2 linked regions of the Lytechinus pictus genome follow. The protein of the gene in region 1 purifies or fractionates together with the protein of each later gene. This does not show direct contact. Links are inferred from orthologs where the notes say so. Each region holds a gene or a part of one and is shown on either strand. Other genes may lie near its edges.

Region 1 (7,583 bases):
AATTCTTGATTAACCTTATGGCCAAGTTTCATGAACTAGGTCCATATACTTTCTAAGTTATGCTGTCATTTCAAAAACTTAACCTCAGGTTAAGATTTGGTGTTGACGCCGCCGCCGCCGTCGCCGTCGGAAAAGCGGCGCCTATAGTCTCACTCTGCTATGCAGGTGAGACAAAAACAGAAAGACTAAAAAAAATGTGACATTCCTCACCTGTGCGTATGTATCCATAACAGCCTCCTCCTGCAGAATTTCCCCAGGTACTTCAATCTTTACAAGAAACCTGGCTAGATACGCCCTCTTCTTCAGCTCGGGCATCTTCTGGAATAACCATTCTAAGATGGAATAGACCACAGGCTTGTTGCCAGCTACAAGGCCCTGCCGAAAGGTAGCCCTAATAAAAAAATAAAATAAAATGGGAAATTAGTCAAATTGATCATATGGATTGTTAAGGGGGGTTTTACAAATGGTTGTGTGGCTATTGGTGTCCATTCTGACCGTGTTCATGATATCTATAGAGTAAATCTTATGATTTTAACAAAATCCGAAGACAAATATAAATTTTAAAGTTTAGAAACATTTTGTGAAAACAGTTATATGCACGCTGTTATGAATATGCAATAGGTGGGCTGATGATGTAATGTACTCTTGTTCCTTTGTTATTACATGAAATCATAAGTATTTTCATATTCTCATACAAGTGTGTGTGTGATATATCTCCCTTGTGACGAAATAAGTTGCAGCAATGGTTATCTTATTAAATCAGCAGACGATCATTCTTGGATGACAAAATTTGAATAATAAAATACAATAAATCATCAGCTTGTTCATTGCATATTCATGAAGACAGGCATCAGGGAATGATTTTGCTTTACAAATTTGAATAGAATTTTTGCTCATAAGACAAAAGCTCTCAACTAAAGTAATTTTCAGTCCTATGTAAAAATATGCTATACAAAAGACTTTATGCATCTAGCAGTCTTTCAAAAATGTGGAGCAAATTGCGATGCAATACCAGGAAAATTATTCCCTGGGCATAGTTCACCAAATTAATGCAAAATTTTAAAATGTTATCAACTTTGTTTTTCCACATCCAATTTTGATGAAATTTACAGTGTTGTTTGTCTGATTTTACTTCACCTGTTCAAATCATAGTTCTTACCATTTTCAACCTGGGCCCCGTCTCACAAATCCATCAGTGTCATAATTTTTTTCTACGAAAAATATGCACAATGACCTTTGTATGCAAAGAGAAGTGCAGTGAATTTTCTAGAAAACAATGAATGCATGAATATACATCATCTATGCTAGAAAATATTTTGAACAAACATGCATAATAGATATTGACGTTGCTGGCCGTCCATAGTTGCGATTGATCTGATCAATCGCAACTCTTTGAAGACGGGGCCCTGGAGTACCCCTAGTTAAAGCACCAACATGCACAGCATGGACATAACAGCATTTTAACCACTGTATATGGTTTCTAATGGAATTACACAATACCACTGAGGAAAGGGTGAAATTGATACTTACGGCTCCACCGAAGGCTTGTATTTGAGGACTTTGAGTTCAGCCAGCATTCTCATTGCTGTGGCATCTGGTGTTTCCTCTCTGATGTCAAGCTTGTGCTGGAGAGGGTAAAGGGCAATTCAATACCAATATAAATTTCGATGTTAAATCCACTTTGAATGTCCACTCCAATTCCAAATTTCAAATCAAATAATTTTTTTATTTGATTTCAAAATTCAAATTCAGCTTATATTGCTGTCTCTGTAATGCAGTATTTCCCCTTGATATCAAACTTGTGCTGGATATGGAAAGGGATTCATTCATATCAAAAGTAATATTTTGTCAATTTCCATTTCAAATTCAAATTGAGATTCACATTCAAATCACAAATTCAAATTCTAGAATGTCTGCCATAGATTTGAGGTCACAATTAGCACACCTTTCTTTGCCACAATGGGTGCAAGCGACCTCCGCGCGAATTAACTGTGAACCAACTTCCACATTCAAGATTGTAAGATTGTGTTTTGCAGTGAAAAATCAGGCACAATATGGTGGCCTGTGTAACAGGCTGTTCTTGCAAAAGACATGATTGTTAACAATGATTATGGAAAAGAAAATGAAGAAATATGACACGTTCACACAATACTATCCAACCTTTAGTAGAGCTGGGAAAATAATCATACTGAGCAAGATTTCCCAATTTTCTTACTTGAATTTATCGGCCTATAACCTTATAATCCCCGTGCATGGGCGCAACCATGTTGTTTTTTCTACTTGCGACTCTTATGCCCGTCTCACACTATGCAATTTGTTGCAATCCCAATTTCAAATTAATTGTGATAACATTTGATATGGATAATTCCAACTAATAAAATAATACAGATCAGAGTTCAGAATAGTGGTAGGACAACTGAAATCAAAATTCAGTCCAGTTAGAGCCTCCCTGAATGAATAAAAACAAATTCAATTCCAAATCGTAATGACGTCATCATCGGCTGCGACTTGAAGCCGATTTAGACTTTACTCCGACCAGAGGGCTTGCCGCAAAGTAAATATATGATTTTAGTTTTCGTAACAATATGCCAAACTTTAAATACAATAATTTTACTTCTTGGAACTTTCATATTTAATGCAAAATGCGATTTCTTGAAAAATCGTGTCACACCGGATCGCATAGTGTGAGACGGGCATTAGTTACTCAACTGCAGAATTGCAGCCGAGTAAACTTGTAAAAGTCGCAAACAGAACTGGCACTCAAAAGTCCAGTGAAATCTTACCTGAGGGTTGATTTCAGACAAGACATCATTGAGCACCTGCAACAGCTGAAGTGGCTCTAAGGCATCAAAACTGATCAGGTTATAGTTCCTCCGAAAGGGATCTTTGTTGAGCTGCTCAACCACATACTTGAGCTGGGTGCTCATCTTGAATCTCTTGAAGGTTATTGTCGTTCCGGGAGAATGGCCAGAAGAGAATCTTCACATGCTTTCCTAATGGGGAAGAAACAGAAAAAGGTGCAAGTATTATTCCACATACAGTGCGTCCCGCAAAAAACGAAACCAAGATTTATCAATGATTTATCATAACTTAATCACAAGTACAATAGACAAATGACCTACCATTGTAAAACTTATGTAAACTTTCTCATTCATGCATGAGTGAGCAAAAACAATTCGAAGAGGGGATACCAAAAAGTCACTTGGCGGGCTGTATCTGGGTTTCAAAAAGAAAACCACATTGTTTAAAATTTCAATATCTGCTCTTTCATTTGATACCTCAATTTACAGAAAATGGTCAAGAAATAACAAAGTTCTGGTTATTTGAAATAAGACTTGAATTTCAATAATTTCATAAAATGAAAAGGTTTTACAGGCTAGCGTTCAGACTCACTCGACACTCTGTTTTGTTGACAATCAGCCATGCATCAGTCTTTTGTTAACCATGCGATAGCTTCTGTGGGAAACCGGTGAAAACATGTTTATTTAATGAAATTATGGAAATACAAGCATTGTTTCGAGGGAACAGAACTTTTTTACTTTTTGACCATTTCCTGTGATTAAGGTATCAAATAAAAGAGCAGATATTGAACTATTTAGGCATATGACTTTCTTTTTGAAATTCTGATACCCCCGCAAAATGAGTTTTTGGTATCCTTCCTTCAAATTGTTTTTGCTCACTCATTAATCTAAGTTATTTTAGATGAAAGAGGAGATTCTAAGCTTTACATTGGTAGGTCATTTGTCTATTTTTTTTATGATTAAAGTTATGATAAATCATTGCTAGATCTCGGTTTCGTTTTTGTGGACGCACTGTACAGTAATCTCCCAACAACAGAGATCAAAACATGAAGCGTGTACATGTATATATTGAGGAATCTGAACTACACAGTGACTTGTGTGAAAAATGAAAAATAATAAAAACAGGGCAGTGAACCCTTGAAAGATTTCAGGCACAAAATAAGTACGTTATGGCTGCTTGAAAAATGAGAAAGGCAGGGATTCCACGATCTCAACAGCATATATATTATTAACAAAAACCATTGCCTTGTGTCTTGCGCATGCATGCTCTCTTAATATCAACACTCTCTCCCATATTCAATTTCAATTTAATTTTCACATTGGACAGGGTACGCCAATTTTGGTTCCTTTGTTTTTCCCGGAAAAGAACTTGGAATCCCACATTTAATGTGAGATGTTTGAGTAAAGAATCAATGTGTACAAAAATTTTATGTTATTTGCATTGTTAAAAACACAAAAGTGGTGACGAGCTCCATATCGAGGATATGCGTCTTATAGCTTGGCGAAAAGCAAAGAAAACAACATGGCGACGTAAATATCGCGGCAAGTTTCCCCCGTCTTTTTAAAATATTTTTCACCATTTTTTTATGAATTGTTGTTTAAAAAATAAAAATGAAATCAGTAAACAATTTTTAGAAATGTCGGAAATGAAGTTGTATGCCATTTACATGATTTAGGGCTAGATCTTTTAGAAGGAAAGTAGAAATCTCGGGGGCGAAAATTTCAGGTTTTTTTTTCACAGTAGGCCTACACGCATATGAATGGGACGCAATCCCTGGCTCCGTGGAGAGCAAGCACACATTGTCGTTAGTGAATGATTTTTACTCTCTAGGAGCCTCCTGGCTAATCATAACGTGACGTGATCTGCACGATGAACCAATAATCAGCGGCCTCCGAATTGCTGCCGTGACCTGTGCGGAGCCTGGCATTTCGTGCTACACAGTAAATGGGTAACATGTCGACGTGCGACATGGATTATATCCCATTGCAATGAGATGATTATCATTCCGCATGTTTTGAAAAAATTATCATCGAAATCAGCATTATTTTCTCGCTCCTTCAGTCCACTTTCTTCATCATCTTGTCAAAAGATGGCGTACTTCACCTATAATAGGGATCCCAAAACGAAAATCTAATTTTTTAAATCTATGTTTAAAAGCATTGAAAAGTACCTCACCTGAATCAGCATATTCAAAAACCCCAAGTGAATGACTTTTAGTGTTCCAAAGAGATCTAAATATCTGTTAATCTGAGGCGAAATTAGGTCCGAATTGTGACAGATTTGTGTACAAATTTTCTCTTTGAAATTTGGTCGACACGTACGCACAGAGCTCGGCACTGAACGAGGGATTGTGGGCGTGTCCTTTCTCGCCTCGGTCTATTATTACGCAAATACACAACTCGAACGAAAGTGCGTTCACCGTATCAGTTAGTCTCAGATCCGAGCTTATACAAATAAACAGTGATTAAATAACAAGAAAATAATAGAAAGAAGAGAAAAGGGAAAATTAATGGCTCAAATGCAGTCGTTTGGTGACGGATAGTATGCTCTGACCTCTTGCTGATATAAGGATTAGATATGACATAAGTTTTATGCCATGATAACTAAAGCATGGGGGGGGGGGCGAGGGCACTCTGACTTTCAAAATAATTAATTATTTAAACATCTATATCTAGGCAATTAAGGGAGGGTCCAGGATTTCCAAAGGGGGGGGGGGCACTTTTAGCGGCGGCAGTCAAAAAATTTAGGGGGGCACCAAAATTTTTGACAAAAAAAGGTTATCAAAGGGGGGGGGGGCCGAAAAAAAAATTTAGCCCCCAAAAAAGCTAACAACATCCCCCATAGGCAGCGGGGGGGGGGGGTCGTGCCCCCCCCCCTAAATTTGAGGTGGGGGGACGATCGTCCCCCCCCCCTAATTTTTTTGTTGATAACCTTTTTTTTTGCCGTTCAATTTTTTTTCCTGCGTGCCCCCTAAATTCCAGTGGACCCCCCTAAAAAATTCATGTGGTCTCCCCTAAAATTTGGGTTGATAAACTTTTTTTGGGGAGGGGGCTTGTCACAAAATTTTGGTGGTCCCCCTCCCTAAATTTTTGATTTCCGCTGCCAATGGTCCCCACCTCAAATTTAGGGGGGACAGGGCCTATGGAGGGCACATTTTCCCGATGCGAATTTGATGAGCATTACAAAATATTTTTTTACCAAAAATTGAAAGTCATTTCGTCCCTAAAAATTGACAAGCAAAAAAATAGGGCATATATATATATATATCCTCACTTTCAAGGGGGCATGCTTGGGTAAAAAGGGCATGCTTATATTACAAATTACAATTTTGGCTCTCGATAATTATGCCCCTTGGATCCACCAGTAATCTAAGGGGAATTTTTTGTTTTTAGTTTTGATATGGCTACCTTCTCGGAGGGCGTCCTCGCCGCGGTAGCTGGATAGTGCTGCAAAAGAGTAGGCCTTATACATCTTTTGCAGCATTAACTGACACTCCGAGACTTATAATTTTACCTTATATTTAAAAAATGAATAATACAAAATAAAACATAAACACTTGTTTTTAGAGTAAGTTGATGTCAAAATATATTCAGTCTGGGGCATGAAGACTTGGAACTCTGCCCCATATCATTGTCCTTGCCTCGCTCGATTTGTATCATTAAAAAAAAAAATAAAAATGTTTCCACATTAAAATTTTGATCTAAGTACAATGGCCAGAAATAATAGTACGAATAAGCTAGCAGAATTTGTATCATACCACCCATATTATTGAACGCCAACGAAGGCAGTTTCTAAATCCTGTTTGCTTTATTCCACTTTTCCACTAAGATTCATCCCTTTTGCGTGTCATATGAAAGCAGTTTTGTGCGCAGATCTAGCGTACCGGTAGGACCACATGCAGTCATTAATAGGTCTCTTTAATTTTTTTTTCAACAAATGATGTCTCATGCTTTCTTTAAAATTAATAAATTAGAATCCTTGTATATGGCCCTGGGAAGTGGGGTGCTCGGGTTGTGACCCCCAGGTTTTTTTTTTTTATTTTTAGCTGGTGGTGCGTTTTTTGTACACGTATATATAGTTTAAAACAGGAAGAAGAACGACATTGATTTTTGTACCGCATTATTTTCATTAATAATTTTATTGGTAGAAATATAAAAAAAAACATTTTTCAAAACCATTCCGCGGCTCCTGGAAGAATGGAGAGATGGACGGAAGGAGAGAAATAAATAGGATGAAGGGGTGGATCCAGCCAAAGGGGGGGGGGGGGCAAATTTTTTTTCACCATTATTTTTCCCCAATCGGCCGCGCGAATATGATTTATATTTGTTTCTATGAAGAAATTGTCACTTCTTAGCTTTTGTCTTATAATCAACATAAATATATGATATCATAACCTTTTTATATAATGCGAGCTAATTTATTAAAAAAAATTATGTTTTTCCCCAAAGTTTGAAATTTCTGGGCAATGTTTATCATGAAAAAGATGTGTATGCAACTAAATAATTACTAAGAACGCGAAGTGCGAACAGAATTGAAATCATAGGCACTTTTTGTAACTTAAACAGGATAGGTATATATAACTTGGCAATTGATGCGAAGCGCGAGCACAAAATTGGAAGATTTAGACCTAAAAACGAGACATGTCTAGTCATGTCTTTTAAATCATCATGGAAAGGATGTCCAAATTGCCGATCTTTGTTACTTTAATAATGCTCGCACAAAGCGCGAGCATAATTTTTGTATACGTTTTGAACTGATCAAAAAGGTACCTGTTAAGGACT
Region 2 (7,583 bases), on another chromosome or scaffold:
TCATAAACTTTACATGATTTTGGTCTTAAAAGATGGATTTTCTAGGGAAATCCATCTTTGTCTTGGTCCGTCTCTTAATTATCTTAATACAGGCCTCTACAAATAAAAAAATTATCACTTGCCCTGTCGGGCAAGTGATGAAAAAATTTGCTTGCCCGATAGAAAAAACTGCTTGCCCAATTTTTTCCAAAAATTATTTTGCTCTTAATCATATTCTTTTCTGTCCTGGCTGAACTTGATATACTGGCGCTGCCCTTGCCCTTGGCATTTCTTTTTCTTGACTCTTGTTCAAGTTGTTCTGGTCGCCGATCACGACAACAAAAGTCGCCTATTTTAGTCTGACGACTCATTGTTTATTTGATTTGAAGTTGAAGCCGAGTCCTGGCCAGGGTGACCAGATTTCACAAAATGAAATACAGGACAATCGACAAAAAAAAAGATCAAGAAAGAAGACTACACAGTGTTAGACTTGTAAAAAATTATACAGAATTGGAAGGGAGGGTGAACGAAAGAATGAAGGAGAGAAAGAAAAGAGATGAATTGAGAAGAAAGAAAGAAAAAATGAAGGGGAAAATGAAGGAAATAATAAAAAATATAAGAAAGTTCTAATAAAAGAAGGATGAGAGAGAGAATAAAAATAGATAAAAAGGTTTCCGTCATTCTTTGAATTGAATATAGAAAGAAAAAAAAAGAAAAGAAGGGAAGATGAATAAATGTGTGAAAGTCACATAAAATACGGGACGTCTGGTCACCCTGATCCTGGCCGAGTCAGTCCGAAGCTTGCATGCATTCAGCGCGATCTAGCTCTCGAGTCGACTGGCTCGCGATCGCTCGTGTACGTCCGTACATGTACTGTAGCGCTCAGAGGGCGAGAGAGGGGTTTTCAATTAGTAGCGCATGCGCACAGTGTAGTTTAGAAAGTAAGATGGCAGCCCCCATCGAACGGGACCGCTGGGCGCTGGCGATAAATTGTCGGTAAATTGGCGCTGATTTGACATGTTTCCACTGTTTTTTTACTGGTATGAGAGATAATTGGCCGATGATTGCAATCTATCAAACAATTATTAAACTTTTACTGTCAATTTATCCTTTTCATTATCAAAACAACCACTTGCCCGATCGCGCAATTGACTTTGAAAAAATGCTTGCCCGCACGTCAATTTCACTTGCCCCGGGCAAGCGGGTTTGTCGCGCCCTGCTTAATATTAATCACTCTAGGCGACACCCCAATACTTACCCGCGTTAATAAACTGGGACTCCACTCACGCGCATTTGGGCCGCCCTAGCTTAGAACTAAGCAATATTATCTAGAAATTGTTAAACTCTAGTCATAAAATATGTTCTATTAAATAAATTGATAATGTTTAATCGGTACTCACCGGTTCTTTTGTTGCATTTTCAGACCATTTCTCACAATTCTTCGTAAATATTTGCGGCAAATTTTGTCGCCATAGACAGCTATACGTCCATCTTTATTAATAAATGGAGCGCCCTTTACGATAGTTGTTAATGCCGCGGAGAAATCGTTAGGCATTTTGGCCTGTGTTCAAGGCGTTCTTTCTGTTTTATTTTTTATATTGAAGATTGTGCATTTGTTGAATAGCGCCGTCTACGTCAGGTATGAGATCGAGTGTATAAATACACTCTTCCAAAATAATTATGATTCCGACCTGGCGCTGTTTAACTTCAATCTCTTTCACCTAAATTAGCGATGAATGCTAGCATTATAAAATATATATTATTAACGTCTGACGAAAAGAATAATCAACCGATCAGCTGACGAGAACGCGAATCACGTGATCTTCATATCAGCTTCGATCGCGAGTCAGAAGTGAAGAGCAACTGCCCAGAAAATCTGGAAAAAGCCGTGAAAATGTAAGTTCCCCTTCATTTCTTTCATTTTTTTGTTGTTGCCAACGATGCATTTACACTATAAAATTATAATTTAAATAAGAGAAAGGAATATAGCTTGTACTTGTGATATAATATAGAAATATCCTGTTCTCAGAGATTTCTAACCAAAAATACTACTGATGTCGCCTATGAGGTCCATACATGTAATGTTGGACCTCATTGGTACTAGGAGTGGGAGTGAGGCTAGACAGCTGGTAGCCGTCTGTTTCGAGGAGTTTTTAAACATTTATTTTTTAAATTTCTCCTCATACACAGACGGCTCGCTATCGTGCAGCCACCATTTGGGGACTTACAATGCAAAATCCCCCCGTCGGGGCTCTTCAATTTTTGTCTTTAATGAATCAAACTTTTGAAAATTAACGCGACCGAAATGCAAATTAATATTCCCTCTTGGCATTAATTGCCAGAAAACGGGGGAAATCAAGTTAAAAGGAACAAAAACAGTGACTTACCTCGGCTGTCGCGCAACTTCACTGCCCTGTTTTATCCGAACTTAATACACATAAACATATGGCCATTGAGTCCCCTGTACAGATCGCGCTAGAACTTCGGTCTCTGTATTTGGTGAGTGAAGCCAACGGAGTTCAGCTGAACAACCAACATAACAGAGACCGAAGCTTTTGGTCTAGAGTGAGGCAAGCCAATATTAAAATTAAATATGGACAAAAAATAAAAAAGCCCCTAAAAATAAGAACTATTTCCTACCGGAACACATGATAGTATATGAAATGAAATTGGGAGGTATTTTGCGTAATCATATTTCCTTTTTTTAATCACAAATAGATGATTTTCTGAATTCTGTGAAAAAAATTTCAATGCAAAATCAACGAGTTCGACGAAGCCAACATAAACTCTAACGTATGGGACTGTGCTAGACTTTTTTGTCGATCCTTGCTCCATTTTTTCCAAAAAAAGTATTTTCCTTAAATGGATCATGAAACGAAACATTCATTCCCATGACAATATCTAATAAAATTCAAAAGTAGCTATACTCACATAGATGTGACAACAACTTATGACTTCCAAAATGTGTTTTTTTAATCGCTTGGCGTCGGTGGTCGCTATGCGATTTTGGGTACAAAACTATGTGCGCACTGCATGATGGGAATATTGACAATGCCGGCGGCCCTCTACGTCGCGTCATGTTGCAATCAAGCCGAGTCGCGATTTGGCAATATCTGAATATGGATTTTGATTGGTCAAAAGTTCGCAGCCTCTAGCCTATTGCGATCTCGAGTGGAGGAACAACTTGTCAAGTTTTGGCTTTGGATTGTTAACTTTTTTATCTAGCCTAAATCCTGTCGATTCTTAGTCTTACCAAAAGATCAAGATGGGAAACGCAGTTATGAAGTATAGGAAAGAAAGGATACAAAAGAGAGCACAGCAGGCAGGCAGGATTGGTTTGATAGCAAATGTTTTCTTATCTGCTGGCAAAAAGGGAGCTGCACCAATCAAAGCTGCTGGAGCAACGCCTTTTGACACGGGACAAAGTAGGCAGCAAGACGGGACTACAACAAGCAGCACGACTGCAACTGAAAGCCAGAGACAGAGTGACACGGCAAAAGGAAACGCCACACTGCCCACAGGCACAATTCCATCATGGATGAGACCTTTTCAAAAAATGAACAGGTAGATATTCACTTAGGCCTACTGAATAGTCTAGATCTACATTATTTTTGCTTGATCCGTGTCGATGGGAATTAGAGTAGGACTAGGACCTAGTCTAGATCGACTAAATCAAACCAGCCTGCTAGGGCTAGGCCTAGCCCTAGCCTAATGTAGACTCAAGCCCGAACACATTGTCGAGGTCCCCGGAGCCCTAACGTTAGGCCTAACCTTGGCAGGGCTAGGTTAGGATAGGGTAGGCAATATGTAAATGGCACTTGTGCTGTAGACTAGACATGTGTCCAAAAAGTAAATAGGTGAGTTGGCCTCAAATTTTCTTTCTTTATAAAAAGTTTATTTTGAGTGATCAATGTAGGCCTAGTTAAATTTTGCGACATCTTCAAATTTTCTGGCACTCAACTTCCAAGTTGAGTAGAACTCAAGTTGATCAATTAATTATCATGTGACATGTTTCCATTTCCAAGGCTCCTCACAGAGGTCAGACAAAGGCTCAAAGTCAAACAGTCGTTAGGTCAGCATAAAAATAACTTTAAAATGCCTATTTTTAGCCACTAGCCCACAATATAGCCTAGGGCTAGGCTAGTATGGGGATGAGCGATTGCTACATCATGCATTTCCATTCCAGGCATATTTTATGGAGTAGGGTCTAGATAGATCTAGCCTACATGTATTTATCTAAATAATTTAGATATCTACAATAGTACATGTAAGCCTTATTTTTCACTCTTTTAAGTTTCATTTCTGTAACAAAGTTCAAGTTACTTGTACTTGTTTCAGCAAGAGATTTTCTTTATACGCACCGTACTCCGTAGGCATTCTGATGAGCCGAAAGAAACAACACAGATATCATACAACGGACAGCGTTCAGAGAGACAGGCAGAACGTCAGAAACTTGCCCTTGAAGAAGCTAAATTTGGCACGGCACCAGCCAACCTAGAATACGAATCCATGCTTGAAGTAAGACTATACATCTACATTTTATGTCATAATTTACACTCCAATAAATTGATATAGGTCTGCATGTACATTTATCTTCTAGGCATATGTTTGCTTTTTTTTTTTTTTGGGGGGGGGATAATAATGCATTCTTCAGAACTATCTTTTCCCCAAAACATTAAAGGCAATGAGTATTTGTTTAAGTACATATACTAACTGAGTTTTAGAACTGTGTAGAATGAAGATTTCTATCCTATCATGAGTTGATTGCCTTTGTTTTAAACAAATTTTCCCATCCATGGTTAAATCTTTTGTTAGACTGAGATCTAAGTAATTATGGTACTATCTGCCTTCCCCTATTCTGAGGTGCAGCCTGTCACCACTGTCAGTGCTGACCAGTGTTTTTTTTTAGTTGATATCTTTATGTTACATAACTTTCATATTACTGATACTTTACTGTCTTTGTCAAGTCTGTTACTTTTAGGGAGTCCTACCTACAAGCTTGGGGGCTCCCATATCATTAAAAAAAATCATCATGTTCTGTTGCATTGTACGTTGTATGTATAACTGCCCCATTTGACCCATACATGTAGTCTGACATTGATGTGAACTGTGCGCTATGCAACATGGTGAAGAATGACGTCATCCATGAGTGCAGGATCTGTGGGAGGTGTTCGCATCAGAAATGCCTTGAATCTGGTGGCTACTGCTGTGATGTCAATTTTGCCACGGCCTTGAAGAACTCGGAAGAAGAGGTCGGATGGAGCTGCTCAGAATGTGTAAGTGTTCTTCAATGAATTCTTGTGTATAGTGTTTTTTAATCATTGTTTTCAACTCATTTTTGTCTCGCCTGCATAGCAGAGCGAGACTATAGGCGCCGCTTTTCCGACGGCGACGGCGGCGGCGACGGCGGCGGCGGCGTCAACATCAAATCTTAACCTAAGGTTAAGTTTTTGAAATGACATCATAACTTAAAAAGTATATGGACCTAGTTCATGAAACTTGGACATAAGGTTAATCAAGTATTACTAAACATCCTGCTTGAGTTTCAGGTCACATGACTAAGGTCAAAGGTCATTTAGGGTCAATGAACTTAGACCATGTTGGGAGAATTATTTTCAAAATCTTAACCTAAGGTTAAGTTTTTGAAATGACATCATAACTTAGAAAGTATATGGACCTAGTTCATGAAACTTGGACATAAGTTTAATCAAGTATTACTGAACATCCTGCTTGAGTTTCAGGTCACATGACCAAGGTCAAAGGTCATTTAGGGTCAATAAACTTTGGTCAAGTTGGGGGTATTTGTTGAATTACTATCATAACTTTGAAAATTTATGGATCTAGTTCATGAAACTTGGACATAAGGTTAATCAAGTATTAGTGAACATCCTGCCTGAGTTTCAGGTCACATGGCCAAGGTCAAAGGTCATTTAGGGTCAATGAACTTTGGCCAAGTTGGGGGTATTTGTTGAATTACCTTCATAACTTTGAAAATTTATGGATCTAGTTCATGAAACTTGGACATTAGGTTAATCAAGTACCACTGAATATCCTGTGCAAGTTTCAGGTCACATGACCATGGTCAATGGTCATTTAAGGTCAATGAACTTTAGCCGTGTTGGGAGTCTTTGTTAAATTACCATCCTAACTCTGAAGGTTTATGGATCTAGTTCATAAAACTTGGACATAAGAGTAATCGAGTATCACTGAACATCTTGTACGAGTTTCAGGTCACATGACCATGGTCAAAGGTCATTTAAGGTCAATGAACATTGGCCGTGTTGGGGGTATTTGTTGAATTACCATCCTAACTCTGAAGTTTATGGATCTATTTCATAAAACTTGGGATATAAGAGTAATTAAGTATCACTAAACATCCCCTGTGAGTATCAGGTCACAAAACCAAGGTCAAAGGTCAGTTAAGGTCAATAAACTTAGGCCATGTTGGGGTAATTGTTGAATTGCCATCATAACTTTGAAAGTTTATGGATAGAGTGAATGAAATGTGGACATGGGTGTATTTGACCATATGAATGGTGTTTTTGTGAATGATTATTTTATAGTAGTTTTCAAAGTTAGCACTGCTGCTATATTAAATTGCGTAATGCAGGCGAGACTGCCAGAGGCGTTCCACTTGTCTTATGTTCATATCATTACTCATCCACTTTCATCATTACACAGAAACTTTATTTGAAAGAATTATAACAAGTGTATCAATCTTTAGTTTTGAATTTTCTCCATTAATTACCTGAAAACGAAATATAGGCCAACCTCAAATTTAGGTTAAAAAATCATAACAATTTTGCATACATTCCTTGATTAAGTGATGATAATGATGAATTCACCTCAGTCGAGCCATGACTAAATATTTACATTTTTTTTTATATCAAAGGAGTCCATTGGAAACCTTATTACACTGGTTGAGATGGATGGACTAATGGAAAAGTTTGACAGATATGACAGAGATGAAGGTAAGTTACTGTAGGTATTTTAGGAATAATCCTCTCTGAGGAGCTTATCTTGTTGGAAAGAACACAGTGTCATACAGTGTGTTTACATAGTGGACTTGTGAAAATATTATTTGCATTGTTAAAGTGCCAGAATTTCTTTTCACACTGTGGACACCTCGACAGCGTGACTGTTCACATCGTGCTCACATGGTCGACTACGTGATTCACGCTGTTGAAATGTTTAGATTTAACAGTATGAAGGTGATTTCACATTGTGTTCCCCTCTGTGAACACACTATGGCACACACGTGGGACACTGTTCTTTTCAGTAGGGTAACGACACTTCAAGACTCCTTCAGTCACAGATCCACTGAGGCGAGCGAGCCCAGACTCACCTCCAGGCCATACTGTTTTCTTGTTACTGTGCTTGCCCCCCCCCCAAAAAAAAAAAAAATAATAAAAATAAAAATGGTGGCCCTAAATTTGTTGGGGAATAGTGCCTCCTTCCACCTTGGATCCGCCCCGTTCTCCTTCACAAAAGACCCATACGCTTAAATACCTTTAACAAAAACACTGGGAAATGAATTGTCAATGTAGAGGTAATTTACAGTGGCAATGTGATTTATATTTCTATATAAACAAGGAAAGTTGGTA

What was found. Proteins that work in one complex are often made in the same cells at the same time.
Region 2: the proteins of intraflagellar transport protein 81 homolog (region 1) and intraflagellar transport protein 74 homolog purify together in Homo sapiens (affinity purification with mass spectrometry; 3 studies listed by BioGRID and IntAct, counting the BioPlex papers as one, with this or other methods). This does not show direct contact. The link is inferred for Lytechinus pictus from reciprocal best matches to the Homo sapiens genes IFT81 and IFT74.

The regions. Positions count from the first base shown.
Region 1 is NC_087260.1:11,012,588-11,020,170, forward strand, and holds the start of intraflagellar transport protein 81 homolog, read right to left. Parts: upstream 3,007-7,583; 5' UTR 2,928-3,006; coding exon 2,784-2,927; intron 1,626-2,783; coding exon 1,531-1,625; intron 392-1,530; coding exon 211-391; intron 1-210. UniProt on the Homo sapiens protein: Component of the intraflagellar transport (IFT) complex B: together with IFT74, forms a tubulin-binding module that specifically mediates transport of tubulin within the cilium. Binds tubulin via its CH (calponin-homology)-like region.
Region 2 is NC_087255.1:29,464,293-29,471,875, forward strand, and holds the start of intraflagellar transport protein 74 homolog, read right to left. Parts: upstream 3,021-7,583; 5' UTR 2,913-3,020; coding exon 2,911-2,912; intron 1-2,910. Other genes in the region: PHD finger protein 24-like, read left to right, coding at 3,245-3,543, 4,353-4,497, 5,070-5,255, 6,872-6,950. UniProt on the Homo sapiens protein: Component of the intraflagellar transport (IFT) complex B: together with IFT81, forms a tubulin-binding module that specifically mediates transport of tubulin within the cilium. Binds beta-tubulin via its basic region. Required for ciliogenesis.